Astyanax mexicanus: one gene and its partners. The protein of the gene in region 1 purifies or fractionates together with the protein of each later gene. This does not show direct contact. Links are inferred from orthologs where the notes say so. Each region holds a gene or a part of one and is shown on either strand. Other genes may lie near its edges.

What was found.
Region 2: the proteins of nup43 (region 1) and nup98 purify together in Homo sapiens (affinity purification with mass spectrometry; 4 studies listed by BioGRID and IntAct, counting the BioPlex papers as one, with this or other methods). This does not show direct contact. The link is inferred for Astyanax mexicanus from reciprocal best matches to the Homo sapiens genes NUP43 and NUP98.
Region 3: the proteins of nup43 (region 1) and nup160 purify together in Homo sapiens (affinity purification with mass spectrometry; 5 studies listed by BioGRID and IntAct, counting the BioPlex papers as one, with this or other methods). This does not show direct contact. The link is inferred for Astyanax mexicanus from reciprocal best matches to the Homo sapiens genes NUP43 and NUP160.
Region 4: the proteins of nup43 (region 1) and sec13 purify together in Homo sapiens (affinity purification with mass spectrometry; 3 studies listed by BioGRID and IntAct, counting the BioPlex papers as one, with this or other methods). This does not show direct contact. The link is inferred for Astyanax mexicanus from reciprocal best matches to the Homo sapiens genes NUP43 and SEC13.

What each region holds. Positions count from the first base shown.
Region 1 is NC_064408.1:49,355,818-49,363,258, forward strand, and holds the start of nup43 (nucleoporin Nup43), read left to right. Parts: upstream 1-4,370; 5' UTR 4,371-4,485; coding exon 4,486-4,605; intron 4,606-6,038; coding exon 6,039-6,161; intron 6,162-7,124; coding exon 7,125-7,202; intron 7,203-7,441. UniProt on the Homo sapiens protein: Component of the Nup107-160 subcomplex of the nuclear pore complex (NPC). The Nup107-160 subcomplex is required for the assembly of a functional NPC.
Region 2 is NC_064424.1:13,491,026-13,498,837, reverse strand, and holds the start of nup98 (nuclear pore complex protein Nup98-Nup96), read left to right. Parts: upstream 1-4,694; 5' UTR 4,695-4,875; intron 4,876-7,222; 5' UTR 7,223-7,250; coding exon 7,251-7,329; intron 7,330-7,715; coding exon 7,716-7,811; intron 7,812-7,812. Other genes in the region: nsrp1 (nuclear speckle splicing regulatory protein 1), read left to right, coding at 203-971. UniProt on the Homo sapiens protein: Plays a role in the nuclear pore complex (NPC) assembly and/or maintenance. NUP98 and NUP96 are involved in the bidirectional transport across the NPC. May anchor NUP153 and TPR to the NPC.
Region 3 is NC_064417.1:10,773,215-10,781,449, reverse strand, and holds the start of nup160 (nuclear pore complex protein Nup160), read right to left. Parts: upstream 3,137-8,235; coding exon 3,020-3,136; intron 1-3,019. UniProt on the Homo sapiens protein: Functions as a component of the nuclear pore complex (NPC). Involved in poly(A)+ RNA transport.
Region 4 is NC_064431.1:1,059,137-1,066,679, forward strand, and holds the start of sec13 (protein SEC13 homolog), read right to left. Parts: upstream 3,236-7,543; 5' UTR 3,096-3,235; coding exon 3,093-3,095; intron 1,408-3,092; coding exon 1,363-1,407; intron 1,255-1,362; coding exon 1,139-1,254; intron 506-1,138; coding exon 354-505; intron 1-353. Other genes in the region: cand2 (cullin-associated NEDD8-dissociated protein 2), read left to right, coding at 4,361-4,428, 5,118-5,261, 5,568-5,722, 6,592-6,715, 7,382-7,543. UniProt on the Homo sapiens protein: Functions as a component of the nuclear pore complex (NPC) and the COPII coat. At the endoplasmic reticulum, SEC13 is involved in the biogenesis of COPII-coated vesicles.

The DNA of each region.
Region 1 (7,441 bases):
TGCGTATGTGTCTGTCTCTCTCTCTCTATCTCTCTCTCTTTTTCTCTCTCTCTTTCTGTCTCTCTATCTCTCTCTCTATAAGACGCGCGTTCGCGTCCAGCAGGAGCAGAGCGCGATCTTGGACTAATCCGAGCACGTGATCTGGAGACTTTTGAGGGGAGACAGATTTGGGTGGTTTTGTCGCACAAGACAGCAAATAAGCTGTTTTTATTAGTGAAGTTGTTCTAAATATGGAATAATCCTGGCCTACTGCTAAATACAAATAAAGTATTTATATATTTGAAAGTTTTAAAGTATTAAAGTTTTAGTATTTCTTCATAGTTTTTACACACTTCTAGCAGTTTGTACTCTTGACAGCTAACAGCTAATTACATTCACTGGCAAAAAAAAGATGCACTCTGATCGATGCAAAACTTGGCGTGACGTTAAGACTTAAAGGACCAACATGTAATTTATTTTCAGGAGTAAATGACAAAATGATTAGGATGTATCATCAGATATTAAAGAAACATGCTGAGGTAAAGCACTGACAGCTTTTCAGCCAGTACATTCCAAGGAATGTGTATAGCTGGACAGAGCATCGTCTCTCAAAAGTAAAGCCCCCACAGGTCAGGCGCCCCCTGCTGTTCGGTTGCAGAAAGCTGTGTAACCCCACCCATCCCCATAGGTTTCAATGGCAAAACAGACAACTTTCTATCACGTTTTTATATTGTTAAATCTTCACAGAATTCGTTTCTTAAAACGTTATTCAGCTCTATTCAAAAAGGTGTGGTTATTGTAAAAGGGCTGGTTATTGGCGGGACCAATAACAGACCATCAGCTCCGCTCCTCTCTGTAGCCTGTGACCTCGAGGCAGCCCTCAGGGGTGGGGTTATTTAAATGAGTAGGCTGTCTCTCCACAGTCTTTCTCCCTCCTCTGGTCTCTACTGCGCAGACTCAGGTATCAGGATCATCAACATGGCTTCATTTTCATTAAATGAATGGGAACGACGACACAGCGTCAATCTTTTTTACAGTCTCTGGTACATTCCTATTTAGATTATTTGTGCAGTGCCTCAGGGTATCTGTATTTGTTTTGGTCTCTGACTCCTCCTCCTGCTGCTCATTCCCCAACATTAACTCCACCCCCGAGGTTCGATACACAACAGTGAGCGAGCGGTGCTGCAGCATAGAAGCTAGCGAGCAGGGCTACACAGCCTAAAAAACCTCAGCATGTCTCAAAAAATATCAGTGACCGAAGAAGAAATAAAACAAGAGTAAATATTGGCAGTGAGTTTAAAGGTTTCTTTGCCTCTCCTACCAACAACACCTGCCCAGTCTTCACTGGCTTCGCTTGACAGCAGTAAGGGCCCATCATAACTGAGATCAGGTTAGAACTAGATCAGGCTGCAGCAAGATGAAAAGGTAGGACCTGTGAAGAAGTAACTCTAACTCTAGGGTGTGTATTTTTGGAGCAGTGGGATTTTTCTGGTATAACAGGCTTGGCTTAAGGTAACACCGCTAGCGGTGCATAAAGCTAGGTTAGATAACTACGGATTAAGTTCACATGAGCTGGTTTATAATGTGCAAATAATAAAAACACTCCAAACACATTCATTAGCTAAATAACTTGCAGAGTATGACTCGTCGTTGCTTGCCATCATAGTAGTTACTGAACTACTATGGCAACCCGAGTGAGCTTCGTGTCTAGGATGCATGGCTCTTTGTGTTTTGAAATTAAACTGCAGTAGCTATTTCACACACTCGCTCTTATTACCTACTGAATGCTCCTTTAATAAACTCTTTTTACAACTACATTTTGTCACTTGTCTTTTGTTTCCTATTCCTGTTTGTAATCATTAGCTAATCAGTTCAGCACAAAAACTGTATAGATATACTAAACATATTATTTGACTTAATTTATAATTCTAAACATCTCATTAGAAATCCAAGCTAGTGTGAGATGATGCTCAGTCCAAAGAGATCAACATTAGCCTTTTAAATATTAATGAGTGTATCTGTTTGAAGACTTATGTGACCGAACATTACAGGAAGGATGTACATCTACTTCTTAGCACAAAGTTAGCATGAGAATGACTTAAAGGGGAAATCAGGGAAAAGCTAGTGGCACACAGATGGTAAAAGTTGGTCACTGTTGTAAAAGAAAGAGTAAAAGTGTATCCACTATGCTCTTCTCTAATAGCAATTTCCACTACACTACATTCATATGCCTTCAGCAGGGGTTATGGATGTTGTGAATTGAATTTATATTGCACACAACACGAACATGCAGCACCAGAGGTCTTGATTTTCATTTGCAGATTTTAACATTAACAATCAATAAGTTGTGTATTGAACTCTAATGCTGCAAATCAGTAGCAACAATCGGTATAAGTTATGTGTATAGTCTACACAGGCAGGATTCTGAAGAAGAAACCCACACAATCATGTCTAAATTAAAGTTTAGTTATCCTGTCTTCTGGTTAATTGAGCAAAAATCTAACTGATGTCACTCACGGTTCTAGGGGCAGGGTCACGGGGGCATTGGCCCAGCTGAAATCTGATTGATGTTTCCCTGTCCTGTCACTTATCTTTCCTTTCCCCCGAGAGTGATAATCACAATATACTTGGATGCAATTCCATGCTCAAACACTGAGCCAAATAATAATGTCCAGGGTGATTAAAACTTATGTAGGAGAGATTTTTTGAACTGACAGTATTTGTGAAAAATGTTTTAAAATAAACTGCTGGTTTTTCTTACATGCTCTGTGTATTTTGTCTATACTGTAAAAATGCATGTAAAATTGGTAAGGAGATTTTAATAAAATTTTAAATTTCACACAAAAAATATATGCAATAAAAAATTAATCAGAAACAACCAAATATTCCAGAAAAAATAGACTAGCAGCAAAATGCAAATGCAAATAAATTTAAAATAATAATTATATATTTTTTATCATTTTCAAATAATATAGAAATTAGCTATATTTAAAAATCTTTTTTTCTGTTTTGAAATTGCAACATTGCATTTTGGCACACAATGTACTCCATGGATACATTCTATTGTTTGTAATTGGTAAAAAAAAAAAAAAAAAAAAAAAAACTTGCCCCTCTTACGCCATACTAAAATATACTATACTCATATATACTGCTAAAATAAAACCATAACGCGAAGAAAGCTGAACATTATTTTTTTTATCAGTTAGCTCTCAGGAGGTCAGGAAACCTGTGGATTAAGATAATCACAGGTAAGATAGTGTGTGGGCTGCAAGGCATCGACTGCTGCGTTTCAGACAGAAACATTTAGTCGTTGCGCCAAAGGGTGAACAGACCTGTCAGTGGAATTTGCGTACTTAGGCTGTGGCTACGATCTCATTTGATCGTAAGCTCCGTTGTTGAATAGCGGCGGTAACTATCAGCAACAGCCAGATAACCTCTAATAGAGAGGAGAAAACTCACTAAAGAATCTTTTCTTTGGGTTTGTAACACCACTAGATGGCGCTCCCGATTCTAGAATTAATGGTTCATATTGAGCGTCTGAGCCGCAAATTCATAGATGTTTAATCATTTTCATACTGGAAAATGTACTAATTTCCTTAACACAAAACAATACCAAATCATTTAAAACGCTTTTAAACTCCAGATATAAACTTTTTAAGCTTTATTGTACACTTACAGTAAGCTCACAGTGGCAGTAATGATAACGCCTCTATTAGAAAAACCTGCTTACTGTAAAAATAAAACAATTTAAAATATATAGGTTCATTTTATTTGAGCAAAACACATAATTTACTACTTAAAATTAAAGAAATATCCTGGAGCAGTGAATTGTTACTATATGTGTTCGCGTTTTTACCCGTTTAGATCAATTCACCCTTAATTAATTATGGACTCGCTCGCGGGCTCTCTCTAGCGGTTTTCAATAATGATCTCATATAACGCTGGAGATGAGAAATGGGGAACCGGGTGTTCTGTCGAGTTTTGCTACCCATCGATACGTGCTTTCTAAAGACAATGCGCATGCGTTGACCTACATTTAAAAAATATTTCTTGTGTGTTTTTTTTTATAATTCTGTTTTCTAGCGTTTTTTTTGCATTTAGCAATATGGACTCATTGTCATTACACAAAAGTGAATTACACTTAATAAGAATAATAAAAAAATATATATATTATTAAAATAAATGCAAAAGCAATTTATAATATCTATCATAACTTTACCCTGAAACAGTAATTTAGGCTATTCAAAAAAAACAGTACATAGGCTTCTGCTGGGAACATGCTCTAATATGGTGCTTCTTTTGTGTTTTTCACCTTTATTATACACTAGGGTAGGACGGTTTGACAAGGTAGCACAATTCGACAGAACGCTTTGCTGTAGTGTTGTTAGGTTTGTCTCCTCAGAGCCGCCGTAGTTTGGCGGAAGGAGGAGCTGGCGGGAGTCCGGAATTCTGAGCTGAGTTTAAGTAGTAGAAGAGCGCGAGATAAAGGTGGTGTTTAATTCAGTCATGGAGAGCATCAACGCCAAGTATGTGTCTCAAAAGATCAGCAAAACGCGCTGGAGGCCTGTACACGCGGCCGCCCTGCACCAGCCCACCTGCTTCGCCACCGGATCCTGGGACAACGAGGTACCACCACTCACACTCACTGAGACACACAGCGGAGTCTCAGACAACTGTTTCACAGTATCATATCCATTATTGTTGGGTGGTGGGTCATTCTCAGTACTGCAGTGGTGTGTTAGTGTGTGAATGGACCAAACACAGCAGTAACTTACTGCTGGAGTTGTTAAACTATGTGTCCACACACGTACCATACAGTATCTTACAAAAGTGAGTACACCCCTCACATTTGTGTAAATATTTAATTATATATATTTTTATGGGACAACACTGAAGATATTATACTTGTGTAAAGTACTCAACACACAACCATTAATTTCTAGCAAAAAAGTGAGTATATCCCTCACCCCTCAATTAGCCATTTTCCTCTCAGGTCCCACAAGTTACACGGTCTCAGGTGTGAATAAGGAGCAAGCCTGGTTTGGTGTTTTTGGTACAATTCTCTCATAATGGCCCATAGATATTCAGCATGGCACTTTATGGAAAGAAGATGTGAGAAACAGAAATGTTGCTCTCCACAAATATGACCTAGGCTATGTAAAACATGACTAGTTCACTCAGTGTTCTGAGTACCATAATACCATAATAGGGGAGAGTGGATGATGGAGATTACCAGAACCACTTTTAATGAAGCACAACCGGGAGGCTACGCTTAGCCACTATAAGAAGTTAGCAAACACCCTAAAACTTAGATACAGTACAATGGCCTAGGTCATTATAGCAGTTTTTCAGGACTGGTTCCACTCAGAACTTGCCTCCCCAGCATTGCTGCAGAGCTTAAAGAAGTGGGAGTTTAACCTCCAGTGCTCGGAACATAGGTCCCACACTACATCAACTCTGTCTGCATGATACTGTCCCCAGAATGCAGCCTCTTCTGCAGCTGAAGCACAAGAAAGCCCGCAACAATCCAAGAACAAGGATTACTGAAACTGTCATGTGGTCTAACAAGATCAAGATAAACTTGTTTGGGTCAGATGGTCTTCAGCATGCCTTGGCATCCTGGTGAGAAGTGCCAAGAAAACAGCCCCTTTTCTACAGTCAAGCATGGTGGTGGTAGCATCATGGTTTGGTGCTACATGAGTGCTGCCAGCACTGGGTAGCTGGATTCCAGCATGTTCTGTGATATTAGTCCCCTCTCTTGGGAAACTGGGCCACATGTCAGTTTTCCAAAACCTTTGACCAAAAAAACACCCACTAAAAAGAACAATTGCTTTGCTAAGGAAGGTGAAGATAAATGTGATGGACTGGTCCAGTAAACTCAACTGATTAAGATTATAGTCCAAGACTAATTGTAGCGTAGCTAGCTTACCACTTGCTCTTCTGACAGGTGATCAAGCAGTGTTTTAACTTTTGTTGACTTTTGTTGACTTGGATGAAAAGCAGAAAACTGAAAAACTCAAGCCTTTGTGAAACATGCTGAGTGACTGTTTATTTCTCAGACTAATCAGGTTTGCATCTGGGGTGTGGGAGAGACTGGAATGGCCTGTGAAGACGATGAGCTGGAGGGAGATCCACAATTACTGTGTGAGTGTAAACATGGAGGAGATGTGCTGGACTTGCAGGTCAGTCTCATAAAAAGCCATTATTGTGGAAGTGAGGTTTCAGTTAAGATATTTTGTCAAATCTGAGTGTTGCATGCATTTTATGTGTATTTATGTGTCTTATTTCTACAAGCTGTAATATACTGCACAGGGTTGTGGTTCCCTAAAAGCACATTGACACATAGATGATTGTTTAGCTGTTGAGTAGCAATTTCACTGATCTTAACCTCTACAGAGTGAGAGCATTTGAGTACAATTTGCATATTTTTTGTAAAGTATTAAGCTTGTAATAAAGTGGAACTTTACTGTAAAGAGAACATAAAATTGAACTTCCATTGCATATTTATCTATGCTTTCAGCATCTATAAGTAAAAGATTATCATCAACATGTCTATAACACACATTTAAAATATGTGCAATATGTGCAAATTAAAATTAATGCACAGGTTTTACAAAGGACTTTATTAAAGATTTTTTATGCTCTTCATACTTGATTTCTGCTGCATAGCATTTACATACAACCCATGGCAGCATTCAGCTCTGGAAAAAAATAAGAGACCACTTAAAATTGATGAGTTTCTTTGATTTTACAAAATTGTAAACCTCTGGAATATAATCAAGAGGAAGATTGATGATTACAAGCCATCAAACCAAACTAAACTTCTTGAATTTTTGCACCAGAAGTGGCATAAAGTTATCCAAAAGCAGTGTGTAAGACTGGTGGAGGAGAACATGCCAAGATGCATGAACTTAACCATTAGCAAGGATTATGATTAAATGTCTTTTGTCTTTTTAAGACCCTGTGTCAGACCCCACTTTAGTTCCTCATGGTCATGATTAAGATCAAGTTAGACATTATTTTAGGTAGTAGTTGGTTAGTACTTGTCAGTTGCTGAAGAGTGTGTGTTTTTTAATTAACAATAGAGGACATTTTATTTAATTACTATACATTTGATTACTGTATTTTTTTCAAATCTTCTTCAGTTCCTGGATCAGGAAAGGCTAATTACAGCATCATCAACAGGAGCCGTGACCATCTATAAAATTCATGCTGACAGCCAGGTATGAAAGATTTTCACCCTCTGTATATGAGCAAGAACTAAATTCAACTTTAATAAGCTGGGTATGTGCTAATATATATTTATATTTTGTAAATGTTTATTTTGATGAGGTATTGTTACAGTGTTGTAAATTAAAACATTTTTCATAGTAGGAATAGGATTTGACTTTTTTTTTTAAGCATGTGTGTTTTGTTTATTTTGATCATATGTGCATGCATGCATAGTATTCTTTGCATTGAG
Region 2 (7,812 bases), on another chromosome or scaffold:
TCTCTTTATTGCTTTATTGGTTAATGCACTGTTAAAGTTCAAACTGTAAAGAGACCAATCCTGAATTCTGAGTTCGTTACATTTGTGTAGTTGGGGTGAAAAGGATCTCTTCTGTATTTTTTTGGCACTTAACTTTTTACACTTGAAATCACACAAAAACTGTAAAACTTACTACAACATGCCATACTAATGTATGTCCCAGGGCAGAGAAACCCAAGGAGCAGAAGTCCCCAGTTGTGGACTCCCCACCACAAGAAAATGACAGTGAAGACGAACGCCACAGCGATGATGACCAGAAGACTTCAAAATCAGAGTTCAGCAAGACAAGCAGCAACAGCAGCCACTCCAAGAGGCACTACCGACAGAGGTCTCCTTCCTCAGCCAGTGGCGATGAACAAGAGAAGGAAAGGAAACAAGAGAAGGAGAAGAGGAGACACAAAGAAAAAGAGAGGGACAGAGCAAGAGAGGACAAGCATGGTCATCGCAAAGAAGACAAGGACCACAGAGGAGAAAGGGGCCGACATTGGGACAGGGAGGAAGAGAAAGGACGAGAACGAAGGGATGAAGACAGAGGAAGAGAGCGAAGAGACAGGGACAGGGAGAGAGACAAAGAAGACAAGCATGGGAAGAAACACAGAACAGACAGCAGCCCAAAAGAGCGAGCACATGAACGAAATGAAGAAAAAGGGAGGGATCGGGACAGACACAATGAGAGAGACCACCACAAAACAGATGACAAGGGCAAAAGGGATGCAGGAAAAGAGAAGGAAGAAAATACCCAAGCAGATGAGAAGACGAAAGAAAAGGATGCACAAGCTGAAGGTGGTGCTGAAGTTGAGGCAGAACCAGGTCCCAGCAAATTTGCAAAACGCAACAGTGAACAGACTGTGAGCTCTGCCCGGGAAAGATATTTGGCTCGACAGATGGCTCGATCGGCTGCAAAGTCCTACATTGAAAAAGATGAAGACTAAAATGCACACAACTGTGCAGGGACTGTTTCACATATGGTGGATGTTGGTAACTAGACTAACCTGAGGGAAGTCATGTTTCCACTGTAGTTGCCATTTAATTTCAAATTGTACAGTAACTTGTTTGTGCTTATTAAAAAAAAGTATGTGGTTCATTTTCGCTAAAATTCAGTTTTTTTTTTGTCAGAGACTTGGTCTAATTCACAGGGACAGAAGTAAAGAAACCACACTTTTACCCTGTTAAATGTTCATGTAAACGCTGTCAAGTTGGTGTCAAAATACTACTGATGTGCTGCTATTCACCAGCTATAAAGTTTGATCTAAAAAAATGTACATTTTTGTACAGGTGCACAATGTAGTTCATTTGCCTTAATGCGCATATGAGCATTAGTCACATTACTGGATGTGGAGGGTCAGACTTCCCTAGATTTATGCTATACAACTTCTTTGCAGCTTGATAAAAAGAAACTGGACCAGTATCTGCCCATTGTTAATTTCCCTTGGGTTTTCTTAGCTATGTGACCAAGTCCTTAAACTGCAATAGACCAGCATATTCCCCCCTGAAGTAATGAAACCTTAAGGCACACCATTATTTTCACCCTTCCTTTAAAAAAAATCCACCAGAGTAAGGAAGGTTGAGGTATTTCTCAGGCAAATTTGTAGGGGTGCTATTCTAATCTGCAAGGAACTTTTCATTTTGGCCACAGGTGTTATTGTACCGGTTCAATTCCTTGTTTCTTCCTTGAATCTACACCATTTAAAACCTTGCCTACACAGAGCTGGTGTGGCTGCACAGGTTTTTCAGCCAAGCAGATGCAGTTTAATGACTGCCCACCTGATTAAACAAGTTAAATTTGGTGTGCTACTGACTGTTTAGAATGAAGTTTAGAAGTTTTTTTTTCCTTTTACTGAATTATAGCATATAAAAGTAATGAAAAACCTCATCAAGTAATCATTGTATTTGCTCTGGAAAATACTAAAATTCATGGAAAAGCTTAAACCTTCAAGATGAAGAGACACACCAATGGTCAGGTTAACAAGTTTATTTAATTAAAAATTTTATTCCGCATGCCACACATGTACTGTTGCAGGTTTGATTTTCACGTTCTTCCGCTCAACAGCTTTTACTGCTTTGTCCAGTGCCTGAGTGGAAGATGGAAAAAAAAATTAAAACCAAGTACAGAAACCAAATTTAACAGTTAATTAAAATTTCTTAAAACTTCAGAAAACCGAGTATCACCACTGAACAATCTGCCGGTAATTCCAGCTACTCTCAGTTTTGTTTTCATCACAAGTTAACATGAGGCATTTAACAGAACAGGGTTAGCAGTGTACTCACCCCGCCTTACTTAAAATCTTCTTGAATCCTTGGATCACATGGTCCCTGTAAAAATTAACAAGTTGTTAGATTGAGATCACATACTTTTACCTTAAAGTCTGCAAGTGGCTATTGTGTGTTCAGAAAACCGATGATCACCACTGAACCTTCTGCCGGTAATTCCAGCTATTTCAGTTTAGGTTTCATCATTACACCATATCAGGACTACATTTGTTTACTAACTAAATGAATCTCGATTTAATTTCTTTACTACCAAGAATGCTTAAATCCCACAGGGGGGCAGGGATGTAACTACAGCAGTAAAAGTGATAGAAAGACTGCATTAAAAAGTGGGGAAAAATAAAATTACATATCAGGCATTAAACAAATAATTAAATCTTTAATAACATATATAAAAGTGCACATGTAGATGGCATGTTTAATAGTAAATTCTGCAACCTGCAAGTGAACTGTGGACATACTATTAACATAACCTCCATAATTAACCAAATCTTTTAGCCAAAAAACGACTTACCTTATTAACTCATGTAGTAACGAGCAATTGTTTCTTCCAGCACGTGGAAGGAGGTTCTGCCTGCAGTGAATGAAAGGGTGAAATGGTAAACATTAACTAGTACTAGTGACTAAAGGGTTACATTATTAGGTTAAGGTCTCTCAGATTATTTGAATAAATGAAATCGTCAGTTATCGCATAAGACGGCACTTCCTACTCAAAGTTTTCTTCACAGAGACGTGAAAAAACACTAATTTACGAATTAACGTTTCTCACCTTTTAATAATAAGGCTCAAGCCTCAGTTGTTCCTTTCCGCCCTGCACTGTGGTGGATTTGGACATAGTTTATTGTGAGATGCAGGGCTGCAGCACCATACCTATAGGAAACACATTTAAAACAGAAGTTAAGATACCATAGCACTTCTGTAACCGCGTTCAGAACTACAGAAAAGTATCAGTATCGATATTCATTATCGATTATATATGTGAAGAATGTGTAACGTTACCTTGTGCCGCATCGTGCCTCCTTCAGCCACGTGGTTCTCCTGAACTCTTCAGTAACTAGGTTTTAACTAATGTAGTAAGCACAAATTATCTCAACTCGCGCCCATCGAAAGCCATTGTCGAGTGAGATATTTCTCCATTAATGCGTAAAAACTGGAAACACACCCATGGTGTTTGCTTATACAGACTTTAGCCATCTCTGCACTACACTCTTCCTCTCGGAGCCGTATGAGAAAGACTGAATGGCGTCGTCCTTCCAGTTATATCCGAGCCGCCTGGTGACGTTCTGCTCATGTTCCGCTGCGAAGCACACAGATCTACTCCGTAACACCGGATATACGGGATTTTTTAGTTAATTTTATTTTACTTTATTTTAATGTACACATTCTTATATTATAAATACGTATTACATAGAAATTACGTACAAAATACTTATTCAAAGATCAGGCATTACACACAGCAAAAAGTATTAGAAGTAAGACATTTATATAAAATAAAATTATAATAAAAACAAACTACGGTATAACCTACGGTATATTTAGACATTCACCTTTAATTTATTTATGTTCTAAAATAAACAATGTAATTATAAAAGGCTATTTTTAAATCCATTGAAATCAATATATATATATATATATATATATATATATATATATATATATATATATATATATATATATATATATATATATATATATAATACGTTCTAGCATTTAAAACTACAAAAATATATACATCTAGAAAAATGTACTGATGTAAAAGCACAATGGGACATTTAAAAATCGAAATTATTGTGGACAGCATTGCAGAGCATACAGTATTTAATATGATATAATTAACCATATACTATTATGTATTATAACAAAATATAAATGTTAGTAATGATAGATAGTATTGTTCAAATCTAATAAGCCTGTTTATGCATATCTGATTATTAAAAGCATCTTTTTGTGTTTATTACAACCACCAAATCGTTGGAGCATTACGCCACTTAGTTGACTACAAAACATATATAACTTAATATAATAACTATAATAATAATAATAATAATAATAATAATAATAATAATAATAATAATAATAATAATAATAATAATAATAATAATAATAATGGGGGGGCTAATGTTTTATGATTTATTTACTTCATCTAAAGAAATTGCGAATTAAAGATGTATTTATGAATATAACATTTTACAGTAGGAACAAAAGTGTGGATGGTTCCTTTTATGTGTTGTATCTCAAATAAACTAAGAGAAGTCCACTTTAAAACATTCATTCTTTTTATTATCTCAAAGAATCGTCATTATAAAAAATAAATGTATTTATTTTGGATGTGTGGAGAAAATGACAGAAGCGGGGTGGTGACGTCCGCTGATGTGCGGGTCTGACGTAGGTTTGTACTGCTTTAGCTTCGCCTGTCGTTTCCCTCCTTCCACACAGTGTGTTTCTCAACTCACACAAATGCCTGGAATCTGAGGGAACGGCGGAGTTTGGCTGAGAGCGAAATTTGAAGACCCTGAGAGAAGCGCTAGCAGATCCCGCTGAGACGTTCTGAGCCGCTGTGTGTGCGCGGTGAGTGTGTGAGGAGAACTGTTGTAGCTGAGCTGGTTTTCTGAAACTCCGATGCTAACGGCTTAGCAAGCTAAGCTAAACCTAGACTAGCTGAATAGTTAGCCTGCTGCCGCTTCAGCTGTGTGTACAGTTCAAAAGTTGCGCAACATGAGTGTAGTTTACAGCTGAAAATGGGTTCTGCTGAGTATTCGGCGCGTGTTTGTTTATAATTTGTGTGTAAAGCGGGGCAGTGTTTTGTTGTTTATAACTGGAGTTGTTACAGCTCGTTAAGCTAAAAGCTAGCTAGCTGGCTAACTAGCGTTAGCCTCTTCAGTAGCGGCGGCCAGTGTTCACGCACATGATGTGGGAGCCTCTGGCGCTGTGTGTAGCTTCATGTTTTCTCCTCTGTTTACGTTAATTTTCATGTTAACCTGTTTTTATGTGATTTAAACAGTTAAGAAACGCCACAAACATTAAATTACGAGCATTACTGTAGCTAGCTAAGAGTTAGTGTTAACGAAAACAATGTAACTAGCTTAAGCCAGCAGAGAACTGCCTCTGGTCGGCGCATGTTTGAACACACTGGTTTTCTCAGGATAAATCCGGTCACACAGCGAGTTTTACTGAACCAGACTGGTTACAAACTAGCAGGGTGTGTTTTTCACGTGTTGTTTATGTATCTAAAAGCATGCGTTCCATGTTTACTGACTAGATAGCTATTTTAGCTACACACGGGCCCGTTTCCAACATTAGCTAGGCCTGTTTCTGGCGCTCAGGATTATCTGACTAAAGTTTGCGACCAGTTGCTGAAATGTAGGGGTGACCACTATTATAAAATATATTGTTTTACGATATTTAAAGACGTTTTCATTATACAAGATGTTTATCATTATACATTTTATGTATATATTTCCTACTGTGATGTAACTACTAACGTAATATATTTAGTTATTGTGTGTTCTAGGGCTGAAAGGTTAATCAAATTATGTACTGTTTAATACTGTTTTAATAGCATTTTCAAAATGGAATATTTGAGATTTTAAGACTTTACATATAGCAGAGAAAATCTAATTAGATATACATTTATTTCTGCCAGAAACCTGTTAAAAAATGATATTGCAGCGATTTTCATGTTTTACACTTTTTCTTAACTGAAATACAGTTTAGAGTTTAATATAAAAGCTGCATGTAGGGTTGAATTGGGGCTGCTTACTGTTCGTAAAATATGTATATTTAAAAAAAATACATTTAATGTAATGGAAACAATGGCTTCTGATATCCCTAAATATTATCCAAACAAAGAAAAGTTAGGACTGTTCTATTATTGTGACCTTCTTTACAGCGACATTTGTATATTAATTAGCAATCGTGCAATTTATTTTCTATCTATTTTTTATTAATTTGATAATTGGTGATGTTTAGGTCGTCATGGCTTATGCTGTGTCTTTCTGAGCTTTTAGGGACATTTTAATATTCTTTTACTCTGTGATATTTATTGTGATATTTCCTCGGAAATGTACAGAATTGACAATCATTAATAATGAAACATTGCTCAATGCACTTTGTAAAGTAAAGTAAATTATTTCTGGCAGATATCAATTACTTGGTATAAATTTTGGTAGCGATGCCAATTAAAATAATGAGACCGTAATTGTTCCTTTTAAATCACGCAGCGAAAAATGGTTATGTTTGCAGAGTAGAAAAAAGTGTCCGCACCCCTACAATAAGTTATAAACGATGTTTATTGTTATATTTTGACCCAAAAACAAAGGCGTCATTGCAGAAGACTCTATTCAAACTCTATTCTGTTCAAACACTGTTTTAAACACTGTTTCATCGGTAGTATGGTGATATAGTTTCATTTTAAATTCGCTGGACGTTTCCTATTAAACATATCTATTTACACACACTGTAATAAATGTTGGTCAGTTGGTTAGTATTCTGCAAGCACTTAAACCCACAGTATGCTCAGAAAATTTATTTTTTTAACAAAAGTATGATAAAAATAGTATGATAAAAATATTACTGTACTGCCCACCCAGTTGCTCAGACTACCTACTATTGTGTTATTCTGATGCCAGATAACCAGTGCTTTTAATTAGGAATGTAACAGCCAAGCAGGCTTTGAATGCTACAGTGCATTTTCTGACAATGTGATAATAGCTATGTAAGGTTTCATGTGATGATTTGAGAAATGAAAGTAAAATCTTCCTCTGCTGTTAAGTAGCCTTAAGTTATCCTCTTATACTCTCCTTACTTTCTGATGTTTTGAGCACAGATGAGTTGTGTACTGAGTTGAATAATAAGCTGCATGTTTGATCACAATACAAAAACTGACCTTTTATCACACTGCTGTTATTTGTGGCAGACATATGCAGGGTGTATAGCAGTCCAAGATGTTTAACAAATCATTTGGTGCTCCCTTCGGGGGAGGAACAGGAGGATTTGGGACATCATCCACGTTTGGACAACAAAGTAAGTAAACTGTGTAATTAAATATCTTTACTGTGAGTGTCTGGATTTCTTCTCTATGTTGAAAAAAATGTGGTTAGCACCAAGTTGCTAGCAACCAGAGTAAAAACTATGTAGTTTGCCTTTTTCCCCCAACCAAATGTTTGAAAATGAATAAGTCTAATGTTAAAAGCACAAGAGTTCTCACATAATGACTGATTGCATTACTTTATTTGTCTTTGGATATCCTTTAGTCATGACAGCTGCTATTCTATAGGATTTTTCATGAATAAATGCCACACACTAAGATTCATGCAAAGATTGTGTCCAATTATGATGTCAATTGTATCCAGCAGAATAGGTTGTTTTAAAGATTACCTTTTTATAACATTGAAACATTTAATTTTCAGACACTGGGTTTGGAACAACAGGTGGCTTTGGTTCCTCAGCTTTTGGGACCGCAAATAACACAGGAGGTCTCTTTGGGACACCACAGAACAAACCTGG
Region 3 (8,235 bases), on another chromosome or scaffold:
GAGATCACCATTATAATGTAAGATGTGTATTACTGTGCTACCTAGCTAAGGCTAGCCATATTAATCTTACCCAGCAAGTGAATCTAGCCTGATTAACGTTGCAGAGAGATAGCAAGCTAGCTAAACCTGATTCTTTAACTATGACTTAATTTACCCTGAACTGGTTATTTTTTTGGTTTAATGTCAAAATGAGTGAGGGGTAGCGTTAGTCCAGCCATAGCTCTTTAGAATAGCCTGCTTAGCTAGCTAGCTAAACAATATCCTACTGTGGGGAACCTGATCTTACAGGCGTGTACACTTGCATGCTTAGCTGGACTGTATTTGGCATTTCACGTTCATGTTAACAATAATTTTATGTCTGATTTGATATTACAGATTAACGGTGGAAACAAAAGTAAGGTTAAAAATACTTTATGAAATAGTGTTTCTTTAAGACACTGGCTGGCATGCGAAAGTTTATAAAGTATGCTGTGCCCACCTTATTTGCCTGGAAAGATCAGTGAAGCCTGTCAGGAGGGCTGTAGTTAGACATACTGCAGGGTATTTTTCACCAGTCACTAAATTATTTACTAACTAGCTAGCAAACTAGCTAACACATGAGTTTTTATACAGCAAACAAAGGCGATTACCTAGCTTCCACATCATGAACCTAACAATTAATCCAGTTTCTGGAGCCTTTTATTGAAACAACCCAGGGAAATCTTGCACTCATTTTCGGACTATTTCTGATTTCACCGTTAATTCAGGGAGGTGTGCAGGGTTAGTTGTCCACACAGGCGCTGCCATTTAAACTGCTGGCTCCGTTGCTACCTTGGAATTTCCGGTTTAGGAGCGAACCCACAGCCCTTCTTTTGTTTCAACATGGCCGCAGAGTGAGTAAGGTGCATTGGTTTGTAGAATTGTAGTAAAGAGATGGAGCGTTCCTTTGTCAGGTGTTGTGATGAATTCTAGCTCTTTGTCAGAATCTGACTCCTCCTCACATCCTTTCAGCACAGCACCAATTGTTTTTTTCTGGTTTGTTTACAGTCTGCCTTATCTTCCTGTTTTTGGTCTGAAAGTCCAAACCATCTAGAAAAGTGTTCATATTGCAGACAATCCGGACCATGGTTAAGATGGCCACATCTTTTGCATCTTTTGATTGAACAAAACTTTGTGGCTTATGCTCCCTCACCCATTACTTGTTGAGCTAAGTGTGAATGCACCCTAAATACAGTATTGGGACTAGTGGTGCGAATCTCTCAGTGACTGGCGATTCGATTCAATTCGATTCCGATTTTTGGGGTCACAATTCGAAATTCAGAAACGATTTTCGATTCTTGAACGATTTTTTTATTCAAATGGCCTATACATTTTGTGTAAATTATGTGAGAAGATAAAAAGATGAAAGGACAATTAAAAAAAATAGAAGTTTTTTTTAAAACAATAAACTTAGGATCCTTACTGTATTAAATCTTTTTGCAACATACCGTACTGCGGAGCTCATCTACTGTTGCACAAAGCTTTTTAACTGTACCGCGGAGCTCACCTACTGTTGAACGGAGCTTTTTAACTGTACCGCAGAGCTTTTTAACTGTACCGCGGAGCTCACCTACTGTCGAACGGAGCTTTTTAACTGTACCGCGGAGCTTTTTAACTGTACCGCGGAGCTTTTTAACTGTACCGCGGAGCTCACCTACTGTCGAACAGAGCTTTTTAACTGTACCGCGGAGCTTTTTAACTGTACCGCGGAGCTCACCTACTGTCGAACGGAGCTTTTTAACTGTACCGCGGAGCTTTTTAACTGTACCGGGGAGCTCACCTACTGTCGAACGGAGCTTTTTAACTGTACCGCGGAGCTTTTTTACGGTACCGCGGAGCTGACATACTGTCGCGCTGAGGTTTTTAACTGTACCGCGGAGCTCACCTACTGTCGAACGGAGCTTTTTAACTGTACCGTGGAGCTTTTTAACTGTACCGCGGAGCTCACCTACTGTCGAACGGAGCTTTTTAACTGTACCGCGGAGCTCACCTACTGTCGAACGGAGCTTTTTAACTGTACCGCGGAGCTTTTTTACGGTACCGCGGAGCTGACATACTGTCGCGCTGAGGTTTTTAACTGTACCGCGGAGCTCACCTACTGTCGAACGGAGCTTTTTAACTGTACCGCGGAGCTTTTTAACTGTACCGCGGAGCTCACCTACTGTCGAACGGAGCTTTTTAACTGTACCGCGGAGCTTTTTAACGGTACCGCGGAGCTGACATACTGTCGCGCTGAGGTTTTTAACTGTACCGCGGAGCTGACCTACTGTCGTGTGGAGCTTTTAAACTGTATCGCGAAGCTGACATACTGTCATGCGGAGCTTTTTAACTGTACCGCGGAGCTCACCTACTGTCGCTTCACCCCCAAAACATTTTTTTGAAAACGAGAAACGATTCTGAATCGTTCAATGTTGGAATCGCAATTCGAGCTCGAAACGATTTTTTACTGCACCACTAATTGGGACATTAGGTTATTTGTTGTCTCTTTAAAAAACAAGTGTATTAAATAAGAGTTCATCTTTTTGTTGGATGAACTGATTTGATTGTATTTAATGACGAGTGTTGTTAAGGTCAGAAGGATGCAGGCTCACCCCAACTCATGACAAAAGTATAATCATCACTGCAGTGCTTCTTTCATTTACATTTTCATTTATATACATCCATTTCTGCATTTCAGGCCTGCAACACATTACAAAGAAAGTTGGGACAATCCAATTTGGGTCTAATAATGAGGTAATAATAATATAATTAAACCCAGGAGAAATTCTGGTGTTAAAGGGCAAGACCACAAGCTTAAGCTTTAATCATTAAATACACAATGCCACTTTACTTTGCAAAGCAGTCTGCTCCAAAAGTTTTGGAACCAGTCCCTTTATTTCTGCTGTAGACTAAAAAATTTGAGGTTGACATTAAACATTGGGATTCCAGTGTCCTCTTTAGCAAGTAAAATGCATGCAGTTTGGAGATTGAATATGTCAATCTAAAACCTTTCACTACTTGCCTGCCGGCAGCTATTTTGCATAGCATATTTGTCACTGTGCTGTGATGAGGACAGGTCGTACTGATGCGGGTAGTTTCGCATTTGCTCACACAGCTGCTCCTTAAAACTTTTTGCCATTTAGGACCTGCTGAGTGTTGCACTGCCTCCTAGTGGTTGTGTGTGTACTGCACCTCCTGAACGCATCACATTAATTTCTGAAGATGCTCAAAACCATCGCTCCAAGCGAACGCAGAATATGTGAGGCAGCCATCATGTGTATACATTAGAGATGGGATGATCGATCGGCGGTGTATCGGTATCGGCCGATTTTCAGCCAAAATACGGTTTCTGCGTATATTCCTCAGATTTTAGCCGATCCGATTCAGGAGTTTAAGGTTAAGCAGTTAAGCAGTGCTGTGTGTGGTTGGGTGGTGAAACTGCTCGCTTACTAGTCGGAGCTGCAGCAGCAGCACAAACCCCGCTCTCTTCACTCAGTCAGAGCTACAGACCAGCCACGGGCTACAGAGCTCAGCCAGTCTGGAGTTTTTTTCAGTTTTCTTAAGATCATCTCTGTAGGAAATAAAGGTTTTAATCCCACTAACCAGATTATACAGCTCTCTACAGTCCATCTTTCTGCCCAACCAGTGAGCTCACAAACTAACAGCAGCAGTTTAGAGCATCCGTCACGGAGTCACTGCTCGGATTACATTATAAATTAGTGCGCTGCTCACCTCAGGATGTTTATAACTACGGAGTTTAGTGGACACGCCGCCAGGTTAGACTGTTGAAGGCTACTGAAGACTATTAAAGGCTATTGGAGGTTATTGAAAGGGTTATTGGGGGCAGAAATCAGTAAAGGCTGGTTAGATAAGTAATTCACGTCTTCGCCCCTCGCTGCGGTGAAACTGTGACTAGCGCTGTCACTGTGATGTTTATTAACATCATTAAAACAGATTTTGTTCTTTCCAACTATTTGTGAATTTAGTTAAAAGCTCTGTTTTATTGCTGTAATGTTACTTACTAAGAATATGGAGTTTAAATCAGGTCTGTGCTCTTAATTACAGTTTATGAGGGCAGACAGAGTCAGGCTGGATTTTTTTTCCCAATCTAAGCTCTAGCTGGAGCGATGGATTACTGTTGTTCTTGTTAAAATATTGTATTATTATCTATATATTAACAGTAAGTGAGATATTTTAAGCAGTAAGCTGACAAAACAGGCTGAGGCGGCTGATGTTGGGAGACACATTCCTGCGGTATTGAAGTATAAATATAAAAATTTTGGTGTCTTTTAAATATTTACACATTACTTGTTTCTCTCCTGAAAAGTGTTTATTTTGGTCAGTAACACTCTTGTGTTTATTTACTATCAGCGTAAATTACCAGTGTTTGCTTAGGTAATATTAGGGGAATCTGTACCAGGTTTGCCTGGCACCTGTGTGGCATTAATGTGGCATTTGCCTCCGCCCAATATGGGTATCAGCGATCGGCGATTGGAATCGGCCCCAGAAACGCTTATCGGTCCATTTCTAGTATACATAAAAATAACAGCAAGTATATCTCTATAGCCGAAGCCTTATGTGGACCATGTTCAGAAGCGTGTTGACTACTCTGGGCTGAGAGGCATCTGGGATGGTCAGGGGAAACAATTTAAAATCTTTTCTTGAAGAAATTATCTGGACAAAAGGATACAAAAAATATGATTTAGATGATGTAATGAAATGTAATTATTCTGACAAGGGTACTGCAGTCCTGACCTGTCCTCAATAGAAAAACGTGTGTAGAATAAAAAAAAAAAAAGAAAATACGAAAATTGTCCTGTGCTGTTACACACCTTAAGGCATGTTTACAACTGTGCTTAATCCTTAGAAACTGACCCATTTATAAATCAATTATGTAAATTAAAACCATATTAGTTGGAACTGTATGAGGCACTGAATCATTTTCTAAGGAATCAAGAGTTGAAAGAAAATGAAAGAGACTCAAACCCTTGACATACATGTTTGTTAATGAGCGCCACAAGCTCAACACTCTCAGTTCCTTTATTTAACACGCACGCACGCACACACACACACACACACACGCACTTACTTACTTACTTATGCTGTGTAAACATTTTAAAAAGTTAAAAGTGGTGTTATGAAACAGGGTAGGATGAGAGTCGGCTAAAGTAATGCACTCATCATGCCTAGTGCCTACTGTACAAGCCTGTGCTATGATCTGGGGTTGATGATGTTGTTGGTCAGATTTAGTTTCAACAACAGTATGTGCTGAAAGAATGAGGTCAGCTGACTGCCTGAATATACTGAATATAGACCAGGTTATTCCATCAATGGATTTTTTCTTCCCTGATAGCACGGGCATATTCCAAGATGACAATGCCAGGATTTATCAGGCTGGAATTGTAAAAGAGTGATTCAGGCTGAAATAAACTTTTAAAATTTTATACCACATAATATGTAAAAAATTAAATAGCTTTCTTGGAACTCATTGTGGAGAGATGTGGACAGTTGTCAAAGTAGGGGATTTCACTTCAACAAGGCTTTCTAGCAGCTCAACACCGTAACACTGTTACACGAGTTAAACAGAACAAAGTAAATTGCGTTATTATAATAATTTAAAATATCAGTGTTTATTTCCAGACCATCATTAGAGAGAGCTGTGTGGGCAGAATATGCCACGCCTGATTAGTGAGGCCATTCATTATTCTCTGTTGATATTAGACTTTCCCAGTATTAGCCTCTCTCTGCCTCAACCAAGAAAGGAGGAATATATAATTTTTTTCAACATGAGAAACATTTTGTACACTTTGTCTGCAAGATTAACCTAATTACAGCGATTTAGTCCCCTGCTTTAACCTCGACTGCAGCACTATGTTGATCCTCAAGCAGGAAGAATAAAACAGGTTAAGAAATGTGCATAGGCATGCATGCAAGTGTGTGTTTGTGCTTGTATCAGCAGTTTGATGATTTAAAGATTTCATTTTAATTTAAAATGGTAATTCAGGTAAAACTCTAATCACAGCCCAAACATAGTTAATCAGAAAATAATTCTGGAGAAAATAATACTATATTAACCATAACTATGCTGGGCACAGATATAATTTAATCCGTCTGTGCAGTGAGCACACCAGTGAGTACCCTTAAAACACACACGCGGTGATTAGAGCTTAGATTGGGCCCAAAAAATAGACCTATTATTTAATAAAAATGTTTATTAAAAACAGCTGCACAGCCCTACAAGTCAAAGGCGGACAAGTGGAGAAGCTTGCGTGTGCCCAGAGCTGCGTGATTATGACGTTCTAACTGGTGCAACTTTTTTAAAACAATTTGATTTGTTACTTACAAGGTTATAAATGTTTAGAATTTTTCGTTGTAGTTTAATTTTATTTTGTTTCCAATTCCGTTAGTTTTAATTAGTTTTTAGAGTGGGGTTTGCTATTTTTTATTAGTTTTTACACATCACACCAGAGAGATCAATCTGAGAAACACATAAACAAACTCAAAAAATCAATAAACTTTACAGGTTTCACTAATTTTTCAAAATGATCAACTATGAGTGAGTGCGAGAGAGAGAGAGTGAAAGAGAGAGAGATTTATCAGTTCATCCTCCCACGTGGGGTGTTGTGGTGTATGAGCTACTCACAGGTAAAGATACTCTCAGCTGCTTCTCAAATGTACTTTAGCTGTGTGGAGTTTATTCCATATACTCTATCTCCTGTTTCTCTACGAAACATCTGCTTTTATCTCCCTCACGCTCATATTCTAATCCCATACTGAATTCTGCAGTTTCCTGTTGTTTCCTGATGTCAGGGTTAACGTAAGCGCTGTAAACAAGAACTAACGCCATGGACCGCGAGGTGCCGCGCGCTGCCAAAATTTGCCTCCTGCAGAATCCGGCTTCCCTTCGCGAACAGAATAGCCCCAACACCGCCCGTGGTAAAACTGCTGAAGTGGAAACAATGCTTATGAATACACAAAAAACAAAGGGTATTCTATCAGTAATTCCAATTCATTTTAGTCAGTTTTATAAAAACACAGTACAGTTTCAGTTAGTTAGCTTTTTTTCTTTAATTACTGTTTTTATTAGTTTCAGTTAACTAGAATATTTTTTTCATTTCAGTTTTTGTTATTTTTCATAATTTTTCATTTGGTTACTTAGCTATATTGTGATAATCACGCCAGAGCTTTATATTAAAAAATAGCATTAAAAAAACAGATGCCTACGTCTCAGACTATTTTCTGGAGCCCGACCCGACCCGGCCTGAGAAAAGTGGTGGGATATCTCAGGCCGACCCAGCGCGGGCAGAGAAACTAAACTCTAACAGTGATACAGTGAGCACACAAACCTGGAGCAGTGGGCTGCCATCATATTGCCAAGAATATTGTTTTAGGTCATTATTGCATACCCCTAAATGTTCTGAAAACATTTATAAACATTGATTTAACTGATACAAATATACACTGATATATAACATTTAAGTATTATTAATATGTCTGAAAAATGTTTTGATAATGTGCCAATGTAGTTATCATATTGTTGCTGCAACAGTGTACCCAGAGAATTTAACAAACTAAAGATTTTAAGAATCAAAGTCGAGTTGATAACATTCAGAAAATGTTTTTAGTAGCTATGAGGACAAGGCTTAAAATTGGACAATACACATAGATAGCCAGTCGATTCTTCCGTCTGTAATAATGATCAAACGTTTACTGTGTCACCCAGTTCTGTGACTTTCAGTAACTCAAGTTAGACGCAGTTTCTGTTTTCTATAAACATGAACTAAAGGCACAGTTCCAGTCTGATCTAACTGCTGTGTTGAGCTGTGTGGTCTGCTTTAGTTTGTGGGAAATCGGTAATATTTTGCTGAATAGTTTTTCTGAGGGTTGACCGTTGAATCAGCTGGAAAAAGCAGAAGCTGCTCACTCTCAGTATTCTTAGTTATTTCATTTCAGATAAAGTTTCAGAAGTAAAGCAGCTCTCTTTCTTTTTGTCTTCTCTCTCTCTCTCTCTCTCTCTCACTCACACACACACACACACACACACACACACACACACACACACACACACACACACACCCTGAGAGGAGTTTTGAAATCAGAGCTCACTGAAGATCCTGAAACAGAATAGTCAGAACAGCCTGCAGGTGTGTTCAGTCCTGCTCTGTCCGCCCACTTCAGAGCCACTCATACTCAATACACACACACACACTGCAAAAAAATGTAGGGCAGTATGTAGAG
Region 4 (7,543 bases), on another chromosome or scaffold:
ATGCGAGCCCTGTCCAAACTTCACTGCGCATTTGGACTGGAAAAATGTGGTCTCTCAGTCAGCTAGCTATTCACCCAAACTAAACCAGATCTGCTGTTGAAAATGTGAATGGGCTTCCTGGGGAATGAGACTGAACCTTCCTCCACCCCCCTCAACTCTACCACTCCAGCAAACACCTCTATCAGGTCACTGGTGTATCATTATATGGTAAAATTATCCTTTTTGAGAAGATTCTATTGAATGAACTGATATGTCAACTTTATTTAAAAAATATTAAATTGTTTATCACAGTAAATTTATTATCCATTAAAATAATTTATTGTCCATTAAATCATAAACACAGCAGAAGGTACCTGAGGAGTTGTGGCCTGTGTATTTGTACATCTTATCCCATGTCCCGTTCTCCTCTTTCCAGATAATGACTTTTCGGTCATAGGAACAGGAGGCCAGGATGTTGCCGTAGGTTGGATGAGCCCAGGCTACCTGCCACACTGGACCTTCATGCCTGTATAAACAAAGATAAAGAAAAAAGATGAATACAATCAAGAACAATGAATAAATTTGTGCTGAAAGCATTCATTCACTTCAAATTAAATATTCGATTAAATGACCTAATGACTCTAAACTGTAAGACCGGATAAGTTGAATTTACTTCAAAAACTTGAGGAAACCGGTTGCCTCAAAAAATTAAAGTAATGGGGGATGAAAACTTAAGTTATCATAACTTAGAACATCAATTTATTACAACTAAAGGAGAAGTTGATTTATTTGTAAGGTAGCCCAGGGGGAATCACTACACACTGATGGTGAGTGTTAGTCAGAAACTGTTGGACACACCCAGTATGCAAATAGATTGTGACAGAAGCCAATGGAAAAGAAGCTGTTAATGGCAAAATAGACTAAACTCAGTTATTAACAGTTGGTTCAACTCAAAGAACTCAGTTTGAATAGTACAGTATATGAGCTCACAAATTCAGTTCAACTAACTCAAAATAGTCAATAGTTGAGTATTGTTTAGAAATATCAAATTTTATGTAAAACAGACTTAAATCATTTGAGTTTTATGGGTTGTATGGGTTTACAGTGTAATAATATTATAGCAACATTAATGAATATTCCAAAAAATAAAACTGCCTACCCCCTCAAATCAGCCACAAGAATCTGTCCTCCATTCTTTACATCAAAGATCTTCACAGAGCGATCAGAGGAGCAGGTCGCCAGTCGTGTGCCATAGTAGTCCATCTGGGCATCATGCTGAGAAAGAAAGAGAAGATAAAGATGATGATAATGATTATTAAAGAATTCTCAATCAGGCACACAAAATAGACCAAAGTTCACTAAAACCACCAAACCAATACTTACGATCATGTCCTCGTGTGAGGTATCCACTGTATTAATTACAGACACCTGAAATACAAGAGCAGAAAGGAATGAGTGATGGAGAATTAACTATTCAAAGTGTATAATAAAAAAATTATAATAGTATAATAAAAACGAAGCTCTCACACACACAGATGATCAACACACCACTAACACAACCATTACACAGGTAATCCTCCTATACATCCAAAACCTCTGCCTGAATGTTCCGATCAGGGCTGTGACGATTAATCAATATAATCGACAGTGTTGATTATTTAAATTTGTCGACTACAAATTTTAATTGTCGACTAAGTGTTCATTTGTAACAGTACTGCATTACACAAAGGGCTGGGAACAGAAGCGCAATGGGTGATGGGTAAACGTCTTAACTTCGTCTGCCTCTCCTAAAGTGCCCAAATTGCCCAAAAATGCACAGATTTCAAATTAACTCACTAAATATCAGCACTTTTCACAACATCCAGACATTTAAATATAATTTTAAATATTTTAAATAACGCCTTTTAAATATAATTTGTAACTGTTTTTATTGTTTTTAGAGATGGAGAACATGACAGAAATAATTGTTGACTAATCGACTAATCCACAAAACAATCATCAGATTAGTCGACTAACAAAATAATCATTAGTTGCAGCCCTAATCCCCCCCCCCACACACACACACACACAGACAGAGAAAGAAAGAAAGAAAGAGAGAGAGAGAGAGAAATGGCAGATACTTATCTCTTTCTCTAATTCTTTTCTCTCTATTTATTTCCACATATTATACAAAAACGTATTTGTTTCTCTATTGTAGCTCTTATACTTTCGCTGTTGTTGTTCCTTAATATCTGACTTTTTTTTGCTATATTTTGTAAGGTTTTTTTGTCTCTCCCCTTTTTGGCCTGTTATTTTGCTTCTATTACTATCTCTCTATTATATGCACCATGATCACAGTAACTATACCTCTGTATACACACTAATAAAGCTAATTATTCATTTAAAGTGGGGGTGGTGTCTGCTGAAAAAGAAAAAAAATCAGAAAAGAAAGCAAAAACTAAAGAAATCTGTAGGCGACAAATAACTTACTTTATCACAGCTCTGTATAAGTTATATGACTCCAGATCACTCACTAAACTATGATATCTGACAATTCTAATAGCATGCATAAGTTTTAAACGTATCGTCACGGGCCACTTCTGGCTGTTTTAAACCCATATTTACTTCTTTAATTTTTTTTTATTTAATAAGTTTGGCTGCAGAGTTATGCCTACGTGGATAATACTGGATATACAGCTTAAGAATTATCCAACATCAGTACACTTAAATAAACAAGCTATAATTCACGAAAACTAACCTGAATTAAAGTTTAATTAAAGCTAAAACAACACATTTAGTTTATTTCAGTTTATTTATTATTTTTGTATTGAAATGAATGGAAGTCTAGGCTAATGTTTCCGTTAGTCACTTTAACACTAATCATCTTTTATTCAGATCATCTTTAACCTTAAACACGAGCAGTTAATCCACAACCAGTTAATAAAAGTGTATCTTTACTGTAAATAAAGGTTATAATCGGTTTTACGCTCTTTATTTATTATATTACAGAATCCGGGTGCTAATGTTAGCCTGTTAGCTCTCCGCTAAATAACAGCGTTTTTTACCGGTTTAAACACAGACAGCGGTCAGAAACAGCGGGATTAATCTGAGATTATTAGCGCTTTAATACTCACCATCTTCCTTTATTAATCCGGATCCAGAGAAACTATAAAACAGTAACTTTATCCGGAGAGAAAATCAGCCAAAGGGCAGAACTGATCTCTACGTGGCAAACAGACCGCCGGTTTCATAAAGGTTCCGGGTGGAGACACGGACCCGAATAATAGTTCCGAAGCTTCTGGATTTCAGCACAATTTAGTTTAAACATTGAAATTAACAGAATTAATAAATGATCGGTGCATGAAATATGTCATCCAGAGCGTTAGAGTTTAATAAATAATTACCTAAATTTAATAAACTGTTCCACCAGTTTAATGAAAAGTAGTAGTAATACGACTGCTCTTACTACTACTAACAATAACAATAATAATATTTTTTTCCCCTTAATTTAATAAAGGATTATCTCAATTTAATTGAATAAATCCTCCCCTCGTTTTTCTAAATGTTCTCTCAGTGTCCTAAATTATAGACTTCAATAAATAATTACTACTATTTAATAAACTGTTCCCGCAGTTTAATGATTAGCGTAACAGTAAAATTAATAAAAAATAATAACAACAACAACAGTAATAATAATAATAATAATAATAATAATAATAATAATAATAATAATAATAATAATAATAATAATAAATATTTTATTTATTAAAAGCCCATTCCTGCCGCCTACAATATAAAAAACTCTAATTTGTATTTTTAAGTCAACTACTATTTCATTATTTTGATATAGTCTTTGTCTTACCTGCTTCGGTCTCTGTACAGTCTACTAGTATTTAAAAAAGGGCTTGGAATTTTAAAATACTAAAAAAAAAATGTTTTTCTTTTTTAATTTTAGGTGGTGGGAATGAGCTTCCGTAAGTATAATAAATTAATAAAAATCATTTATAAATCTCAGTCCGGAGATCAGGAGTTGTATTGTATTGTATTTTATGTTTAATCTTGTAATCTGTATAGTGGCCACAAGGTGGCAGTCTATCTAACGCTGCAGGCCCTGTCCCATTCCCTCCATACTCTCACCCTATACTGTAACACTACGCAGAGAGTTCCTGCTTCTTAAGTGCCCTAGTTAGGCTGCATGTGTTCCGTTTGGAGCGCCCTGAGTAATATCGCTCTATTAATATCTGTGTGCTGTTGAGTGTCGTGTTTCTGAGTTTACTCTGCGCCACAGAGCCGCTCTGAATCACGCGTTATGATCCTGACCTGAACACTTCTCTCTCTTTTTACCCCGTTCAGACCATAATCTCGCTTTATTAGTGTTAATTTAGAGTTTAAAAAAGTCAAAATGTCGAATATCACCTATTATATTTCCAACTTGTTGGAAAAAATGACCTCAACTGACAAAGACTTTCGGTAAGAGAGGCTGTGTGCGCATGCGGGCGTGGAATTAAGTGACTAATATTAAAAAAAATACTTTTTACTGTTAATAAACTTTTATTTTAATATTTTAATGTTTTTCTTTTGTCCTGTTAACAGCAGACCTGTCAGTTTAACCCTTTACTAAACCCTGAGATTACTCTGTCTCTGTGTCTGAATATTACACAGCTGTTCATCATCCAACAACTAAAAAATAATATTGTTTTATTCTCTGTTTAAACTTATAACAATAAAATTATTGACCTTTAACATAATCCATATATATTTTATTATTTTAAATGATACTACAAAACTACAAATTGTACATATCACCAGTTTCTAATGAAAAACAAGTATATTCATTTTTTTTACTAAATAATTTGAATGCATGATCTGTCCCTTAAACCAGGGGTTCAATAATGCATTTTTTTTTAACTAGCCTTAAAAAAACATTTAAACATACATATATGCATGTAAACTGAATTTAAGAACATTTTTTAAAGATACTGAATAGGAACATGACAACTACATGTATAAAAGATACTACAATAAAAATAAATAAATATAAAAACTGCACATAATAAATAATCTATCTGTTACATAATAATGCATTACAAATTCCAACACCTTTCATTAAACACACTTTTAGTATTTTTACATGTTTTTTGTTTAATGTTTGGCTTCAGGTTCATGGCCACCAATGATCTGATGATGGAGCTGCAGAAGGATTCTATAAAGCTGGATGAGGACAGTGAGAGGAAGGTGGTGACCATGCTCCTGAAGCTTCTGGAGGACAAAAACGGGGAGGTTCAGAACCTGGCCGTCAAATGGTGGGAAATTGATTGATTGATTGATTGATTGATTTAATCAGATCATGTTGAATTTTAGCTGTATGTGGATCTTAAACAATAAAGATGCCAGAATTAAGCTGTGGAGCAGTAAACCTGTGATCTCTGGCATGATGGTGCGCCATCCAATACCTTTAGAAAGAGTTGGAGTGCTGTAATGGAGCTTCTTAATGTCCTTGTGTGGCAGAACACGATCAGATCCTGATTGACGCTTTCGGACATGCAGACAGATTTTGAAAGGGAACTTATCTACATGTTAATGATGTGATGTATTAATGATGTGTGCAGTTTAGGTCCTCTGGTGAGTAAAGTGAAGGAATATCAGGTGGAGACGATGGTGGACGCGCTGTGCTCCAACATGGTGTCGGATAAGGAGCAGCTCAGAGATATCTCCAGCATGGGGCTGAAGACAGTTATCGCTGAACTGCCCCCAGCGTCTGCAGGTAACAGTCACTGCTAATCTGATTAATGCATGATGCCGATTTGATAAAGAGATTAAGCTTTCAGTCCTTTATTAACTTTATAAGTAATGTAGTTGATGCATATGCAATATATTTGAGTTATTATCCATCTTATCAGTGTCACTGATCATATAGTTCACTCTGTAGTTCTATAATAATAATTACAGACTGTAGTCCTGTAGTACATGTTTCTCTGTACACTGTATATTATTATTATTATTATTATTTTCCTCATTTCACCCTGTTCTTTAATACTCAGAACCCACAGGATAAAAAAAAAACACCACAGAGCAGCTGTTATTATTTGGGCATGGTGGTGGTGTATGAGGTGTTAGTGTGTGTTGCTCTGGTTGGTTCAGTGAGTGGATCAGATGCAGCAGTGCTGCTGGAGTTTTTAAACACTGTGTTTAATCTCTACTCTAATGTCCTCCACTCTATTAAACACTCCTACCTACAGTTGAAACACCTTGTAGATAAAATAAGTGAAACAGAAGTTGCCTATCTTCTAGTCCTTCATAATTGGGTGCAGGACTCTACCCACAGGACACAAACCACAGGATGCTGGTTGGTGGACCATTCTCAGTGCAGCAGTGGCTCTGAGGTGTTTAAAAACTCCAGCAGCACTGCTCCTACCAACCTGTGGTGTTCTATCCTGTGGGTCCTGAGCTTTATAATAATAAAATATACAGAGAAACAGATACAGAACTACAGTCTGTAATTTGACTATTAAAAAGTGTCCTCTACACTTAATAAAGCTGATACTATGTATAGTAAGTGCAGAAACAAGAAAGTGATTATAATATTCTGACCGGACTGTGTTTAATTTTTATTTTCCTCCACTGTTTTTTCAGGTTTGTGTCTGACTGCTAACGTCTGTAAAAAGATCACATCTCAGCTGATTGGTGCCATGGGGAAGCAGGATGATGTACCTGTGCAGCTGGAAGCCCTGGATATCCTCTCAGATATGCTGGGAAGGTCAGGTCTGATGTCTGATATCTGATATATGATATTGTCATTGTTAAAACCTACTTATAGAACATGTGCCAACATGTGCACATGTGCCTAGTCCACTTCATGTTCTAAACTACACATATCGCATTATTTCGCATTTTGCCAGTTTCAGTCGCTGAAGTTGATTCTGTAAATAAAGTGTTTTCGGCCAATAAGAGCGCTTAATTTTCACCCAACCACACATTTTCTAGTTTGTAGAGTGTGGAATATGGAGCTACACTAGTGTTTATTTCCTCTATTGAAGATCTCAGTTCAACTCAGTATCTTAACATCACATTAAATGATTAACTTGATTCTAGTTTAAAAATAATTAAAACTACCCTGAGATATTTAAAAAACTGTTAAAAAAGGATCTAGAAAGAAGGAATAAATCATGAAAAAAATATTTTAATTATGATTAATAACATAATATTGTTGTGATTAATTGTTAAGTGATTGACACCACTAATATATATATATATATATATATATATATATATATATATATATATATCATTAATTAATTGTGTGTATAAAAGTGTTTGGGATGGAAGGCCCATTCAAAGTATAGCCCAGGACCCCGATCACCTTAATCCACCACTGCCTGCAGGAGATCTTATTAGCAGTGTTGATGTTTTATGGTGTTTTTAGGCTCGGCAGTACGCTGGTCAGCTTTCACCAGTCCATTCTGACCAGTCTGCTCCCCCAGCTCACCAGTCCACGCATGGCGGTCAGGAAGCGTGCCATCATCGCCCTGGGTCACCTGGTGCCCAGCTGCAGCCCCGCCCTCTTCACCCAGCTCACCGAACACCT